2 linked regions of the Schizosaccharomyces pombe genome follow. The protein of the gene in region 2 interacts with the protein of the main gene of each other region in a pairwise test. Each region holds a gene or a part of one and is shown on either strand. Other genes may lie near its edges.

What was found.
Region 1: the proteins of SPOM_SPBC16G5.17 (region 2) and rrn11 interact in a two-hybrid assay, tested with the Schizosaccharomyces pombe proteins (one large-scale study listed by BioGRID).

What each region holds. Positions count from the first base shown.
Region 1 is NC_003423.3:1,234,846-1,238,190, forward strand, and holds rrn11 (RNA polymerase I transcription factor subunit Rrn11), read right to left. Parts: upstream 1,637-3,345; 5' UTR 1,523-1,636; coding exon 1,166-1,522; exon of another isoform or gene 1,052-1,165; coding exon 806-1,051; 3' UTR 660-805; downstream 1-659. Other genes in the region: MBF transcription factor complex subunit Res1, read left to right, coding at 1-530; GTP-binding protein Nog1, read right to left, coding at 2,039-3,345. UniProt on the Schizosaccharomyces pombe protein: Subunit of a multiprotein complex essential for the initiation of rDNA transcription by RNA polymerase I. Binding to the DNA template is dependent on the initial binding of other factors.
Region 2 is NC_003423.3:4,245,602-4,249,360, reverse strand, and holds the start of SPOM_SPBC16G5.17 (transcription factor), read right to left. Parts: upstream 1,770-3,759; 5' UTR 1,544-1,769; coding exon 1-1,543. Other genes in the region: regulatory protein ntu1, read right to left, coding at 2,501-3,759.

The sequences.
Region 1 (3,345 bases), 3.0 Mb from region 2:
AACTTTCAAAATGCCATGAAGCATCTCTTGCTGAAAAACAACTAACCTATAATTTGGCAATGGAGGCGTTGGAGCAAACAGTTCGGGAAACTGAAACTTGCCAAAGATTATGGAATGAACGTACCAATAATGACGAGAACTACTTGGTAAATCAGCGGGAGGATTTGATTCACCAGTGTAAAAAATTTCTGCATACATTGAAAACTGCTAGATATTACCTTGAAACAGTTCAGCTTCATCAATTAAAAAAATACGTAACTTACTTTTCTCAAATATGGAGTACTGATGAGTTAGCTGATATCTCGGAGACCAAAAACCTTGTTGGTCATGATACTAAAACGAACCGTTCGTCTTTAAGCTCAAAACACGAAGTTGATCTTTTTACAGCTGAAAACGAAGCTGCTCGTGAAAAGCTCGTTGAGCAATTATGCTCATTGCAAGCGCAACGGAAACAGAAAATTAACGAAATTTTGAACTTGCTTTCTATGGGAATGTATAATACGATTAATACAGATCAAAGTGGATCTTAATTTTTTTGGTTTTAAATTATTATTCAAAATAATTTTTTCTTTCGTTATCTTATTTTTTGCATTCTTTATGTTTTTTATATAAATACCAACTTGAACTTATAGATATTTAACAATCTTTTTATACAGTCGTTGGCTATCTAATGATTAGTTTTAAATTTAAATTTAAATGTATCTTCCCATCTTATTATTTGCTAATATACATAATTTTTCTGATGGTCAATCTAAAATATTAAATATACTAATGTGCTTTTTGAAATGCCATGGGAATGTTAAATCTACAATTCGACGTCAATTCCTGCGTTTGAAAAGTTGTATTTCGCCTTTTCAATCCATTTAGTTCGCTCAGATTCTGAAGCTTCCTCCTTGGCAAGTTCAAAACACAACATTCCGGAATACTCATGCAATGCAGGATTCTGATTGTAGGGTGGTAACAGCAAATACTCATCAAGCAACTTCATAGCTTTATTGTATTCTTGGCGCTGAATAAGTAGCATGATATATGCTGGAAAAAAATGTTCTGCCTGTAAATGTTAGTATAGAATTGCGACATATGATTGATTTCAAATAAGAAGGGACAAAAAATTCAATACACGAAAAGATGAAAGTATAGACGTTTTGTACCAGTATACACTTACATTACGATTCGGATAAGAGTTGTTAATGGATGGACGCGCAGGATATCGAGCTATTAGTCGCTCCATATACTCTGATGAAGCTTCTGGATTAACTTTGTTCAAAATTTCAAGTCCAATGTTCCATAATTTGGAAATGTCAACACTCTTAGATCTCAACAGTAATGAAAAAGCCCTAGATGCCCTTGGGTAATCTTTGCGCAATAAGCAAAGGTGCATCAACGAACAAAGTGCATCAATATGTCTTGTTTTATACCTTCTTGATGGTAAAGGAATTGGAGGTATAACAGAAGATTCCGGGTTGGGAGCGACACTTCGCAAAGTTGAACGTTTTTCTTTAACGGTACAAGGAGAGAACATGATTATAACAGAATCAAGCTATAAGTATTACTTATTTAAACAAAGCATAGTTGATCTAACTATAACCTTTTAATCTAGCATTATTTTGCTAATTGCAAGGGTATGGTTTTTGGCATCTTAAAGCAGTTAGCACTTGAGCACGACAGTTGCCTCTCTGTTCAACAACGATCAACCTTAGCTATTGATTAACTTTAGATTTTAATTACTCATTCTTTTTACTTTCATCTATTTACTCAGCATAAAATTTACAGCCAAAAACTACAGGTGTTGTTATGCACGGCTACATAATTAACTGCTTCAATTGTCAACTGAAAGTACATTAAGCAAAAGCTTTGAAATATATTAAATTTCTTTCCTAATGGACAACATCCTCCAACAAAAGTAATTTATGTGAAGAAACAAAAAGGGATGTAGGTAGAAAGTCTTGCAAGTCCACCCATATTATCCAAACCCAAATAACCAACCAAATATTAAAGTTTTATATAAAAAAAGAACCCCAAGTCCAAAACCATTATTCTACCTTCTTTGAGTTTTACCGTTACCACGTTTACCGCTAAGCAAATGTTTAGGCTTGGCAGCAATAACATGTCGATCACTTTCAGAAGCCCTGGCCATGCGGTTACGGTGTATCTGTTTGACACGAGCCAGGCGATCAGCGTAAGATCTGGCACCTTCTGCGTGAACACCAGATTCGCGACGGTTGCTTTGTGAACGTGGGGCAATAGATTTAGAGCGAATTTCTTCACCTTCATTCATTAACAAGTCAACACCTGAACCATCAGCCATTTCGTTTGCTGCTGCAGTACGTGCACGGGAGCGTGCCCGCTCTTCAATAGAATCTGAGGGAAGCCCAGCAGATTGTAAGGAAGATTGTAGTTCGTCTAAAGTACGAATGCCAGCGGTACGGGGAAGTACAGGACGATTTTTAATTTTCTTCTGGCGAGCAGCCAACATAGTCAGCTTGTTTTTCTCACGAATTCTACTTGCTTTTTCAAGAACCTCTTCCTCATCGGCATCCTCAATTTCTTGGTCAGAATCATAATATCCTTCACGCTCAAGACGTTCTTCTTCTTCGTCCAAGGCTAATAACTTCGCTTCAATTTCAGGATCAACGAAATCAGCCACATTCTTACCGTCCAATAATTCAGGCATACGGTCATATTTCCAGCTAGGGTCTTGAAGAATATACTTGTCACGCAATTCAACATTATAGACACCAGCACCTCCGTTTGCAGCTTCAATATCACGAGCAAGTATACGGCGATTTGGATCATTTGCATCATATGCACGGCGAGTTTTAACAGAATCAGGAATGCAAGCTGGTCGTGCAACCTCATCACGAGCAGCAGGCTCAGCAAGATGAATGCGATTAAGAACATTGTTAACCCTTGAGCCCTTAAGTTTTTGTTCGACACGAGCAGCCAAAAGGGCTTCACAAGCGGTAGTACGTACATCCATAACACCGATATCTTGAACACAGCTAGTTTGAACCACCTTAACATTACCGTCGTCAATGATGGTTTGAAGAAGCTCTTGATTTTTTTGATCCAAATCCTCAGGCCTCATGGCGTCAATCTTGTTGAGAACCAAAATAGTAACCTTGTTGGCAAAAAGGGGTTTAATGCTATGATATAATTTAACCTGTGCAGCAACACTGTAACCGCACATTTCCGAGAGATCCATGAAATATAAAACCGCAGATCGAAGATGAGCCATTGCAGTAATAGATTGCATTTCAATGGTGTTCATTTGCTCTAAAGGGTGGTCCAGAATACCAGGAGTATCAATCACTTGCCATCTCAAATATTTATAATCAAAATGAC
Region 2 (3,759 bases):
CGTAATGAATCCTTTCCCATACAATTCCCGGATATTTCTTTTCCTCAAGGGTAGCCTGTACTGATGCAGTTACATTCCAAAAATCCTTTGGGACATCGTAACCCCTTTCGGAACAAACATGTATTATAAGAAACGTATGTGTAACTAAAATTAACATTGCTTTCAGCCAACCGTATTTTTCGAAACAATCCATTGAATTGCTAATTAATCGTGACAACTGTATCGATGTTTGGCCAAGCTTTTGAACAATATCTGGATAATTGGGTACTAAAGTACGGCTCACAGTAATAAAACCTTGATAAAGATTTTTACGTACTGTCCAAAATACGGTTTTGAGAAATAAATAGCGAAAATGAATATCTGATCCATCGATATTAGAAAACTTCGACTCTATTTCCATTAAAACCAGCGATAGTTGACTTTCATAAAACTGAATAGAGTTAACGAATTCGTTTACAGTCGAAGTATGAATAGCTTTATATATTTCCAAACCACAAGTTAACAATTGCCCGAGTAGTGAGTGAAACTCATAACTAATAACATCTGAACCCATTTTTCGCTGAGAGAGAAGTTTGCCGTAAATATCGTGCTGAACCCAAGGCTGGCAAGATCGTAAAACACATTCCAAAGCATCTATCTCACAAATCGAAAGCCAAACCTCCATATTTGCTTCATACTCGGTATCAGTATTTTGAAAGATTGGATTAACAAAACATGCGTAATGAATTGCATAACATAGATCAGTGTTCATACTTCGAAACTGGTTTCGCATGCAAAGTTGCGCCCTTATAGCATGCAGTCGAATTCTGTCAATATTTCTCCATAGTCGAAATATTACCTCCTCATTTAAAAAGTCATCAATTTTTGAATTTAATGCATCCGATAGTTCAATGGCGCTATGATTAACAGCCGAAAAGTATCTTTCAATATTTGAAGGAAAGGATTCTAACGAAAGTGCTACCGCAATTGCTGTAACTATTAAAATAATAGAAGTCGCGAAAACATGGTTAGAATTTTTCAGATCAGATAACAATTTATCAGCTTGCTCAAAATCTAAAATATAATTTGTTACATTAAAAGTATTAGCATAAACTTTTAAAAGGCTTTCGCATACATCCCAAGGAGGGATAGTTTCTAAAATACATTCTAATCGTTTTTTCAATTTAGGATCCGTTTCTAAAGCTTCTCTTAAACGTGATTCTGGATCTCTCTGAACAATACCTTGAAATTCAGCCGAAGATTTCAAAATTGTTTTCCAGTCTACGAATCCAAACTTCTGGGTTTTAGGGAGGTTGTTTTCTTCCAAACGCGTCCGAGTCTCTTGATGAGCAGAACTATCTGTTTCTCTAGTAATTGGTCGGCTTAAAGGTTCTTCAAGAAGTTGGACTGCTTGCTCGTTTACTCCATATGTACATGATTCTTCACTCTCTTTACATCGAGAACAAGGATATTGGCGGTCACATTTGACTTTTCGGCGCCTGCATCTCAGACAAGATCTAGCTCGAATATTTTTGTGGGCCCTATTTTTAGATTTCCCAACCATAATTTACCTAATTACGGTATTTCTTCTGTAGTAGAAAGTTGGATATTTCTATAAAATACAATTCACCATAAAAAATTATACGCACAAACTAAAGGTTTCATTCAGTATTAACCTGATAACCATCGAACTTTTAAGCTGGGATTATGCTTCAATTGAATCGATGAGACTACTAATATTTTACTGCAAACATTTTTATGAATGCAAAGGCGGTGTCAACGTTGTGTGGTGGTAAATATTGAGTGTGCAGGCTTAATTATTTAAATTCTTCAACGTCTAAAATACAGTGTAAGCATCAGATCTCGATACCATTTTTTTCGCAGAGCTTTTATTTAGAAGATTTTTATAGGGATCATTTTTTTAGCCTAGATGCCAAAGGTACTCAACAATACGTTCCACAGTTGGGTTTGCAGTTGCTTACAAAATAAACAGCTAATTGTCATTTTAGTAATTATACATTCCATCGTGAAAGAAAATGCACACTATTAAAGTTTTTAGTTCATCAATTGCTTTGCAGTAATCCATTATAATGTAGAACTTCAACGTAACTTTACTCCAAAATTTTTAGCTTTTAACACTACTTGGTTATTCATTGCTGATAATAATGCGCGTAAATATCACTAGCTAATGGACATGAAGCAGTAGGCTAACTCTCTAAGCTTGATCAAAAGATCAAAAAGCAAATCTATCACAAACATCTAGGAAGACAGATAATCTAGATATTCAATCGTTCTATTATTCAATAAACATAAAAAGCTAATCATCAACCAAACAAAATATCACTTAATTAAAAGGAACAAAAAATAAGTTTTTTAAAAATGTCAATGTTTTTTCTCATGAGCAAACCCTAAAAGTTGGAGCTAGAACCCTTATTAAAGATAAAAAGTGAAGCAAGAATTATTGCAGAAAAAAAAATTTTGAAAACAAAAGTGAGTTTCTATGCTTAACAACATTGATCGCTCACTCGGTTCTTTTAGAGTTTGAGGAACTTGGATGGTCAGGAGAATTATTAGAACCATCTCGGACAGTAGGATAAGCAACTTGGTTAGTCATGGAAGGTGGTTGAATGAAGGGATACGGCATGCCAGATTTTGCAGCTCCAGGTGCCATCATAACCCCTGAAGTAGGCAGTGGTAGCATTTGTTCTGACAAGGGAAAAGGCGGGTGCTGGTAAGGATACTGTGAATATGCTTGGAAAGCCTGAGGCATATTCGAAGTTGGACTCATGTATGGAGGGTATGAAGTATTATACGGGAAAGGTACTGGAGAATAGGTGTTCGGAACATAAAAACCATTCGCTGTTGGCATTGAAGAACCATAATTAATCATAACCCTATCATGAGGGTATACATTACCATCAGAATAGGAAGGATATCCGTTTTGTCTAGGATAAGATTGATCCTGTGTACGCCCACCATACGTAGGCATAGGGAAATTTGTTGGTGCATTTTGAAACTGGGCAGGATTATAGTAACCTGGGTAAGGAGCATCTGAATAAAATATTTGTGCTTGCGGAAACTCTCTAGGTATATTACTAGTTCTCTGCGAAAAGTTGTTTGGTAGTTGTCCTGTAACATCCGGGGTCGCATCCAAATTTTCAGTACCAGATGAGTTCATATCATACGCAATTAGCAAGTTCTTGATTGCCTCCATTATTGTACTATAGTAAGTGGATTCGCGGTATATCATTTGTAGACAATGAAATCCTAATCTTGCCTTAGTTATGAAATTATTAGATTTATTGGCATCGTCCTTCGTCAAAGTAGCACAATATGTCAAGGTCATTAACGCGTAGTATCCAGAATACAAATTGAAAAACAGTTTGGGAGTATTTGGAGATTTGGCCAATTCCTGTAACAAAAAAACAACACGCTCCGCAGATTGTGCACACTTTAAAGCAAAATTTGCAGGTTTCATTGGCGACCCATTCTGATTATCAATTGGTGTACTAATACTGTGAATAAAAGGGCGATAGAAAATGAGTTCTATTTGCCTGAATTTCAATTCCAGTATTATTGCTTGGATCCATTTGGGTGAAAATTTTGGAACTTCGCTCATTTTTAAATAAGAAGGTAAGTTTTTCCACCAATATGTAAGTTTTTCTTCATGATCACGAACAGCTGGTAATGAAACTTTACAGTGTGAGTCAGAGGGCGATTTGACTGGATACACTTTCCTTACAAAATGACTTAAAATACGAGAAAGCGTTATGTGTTGTA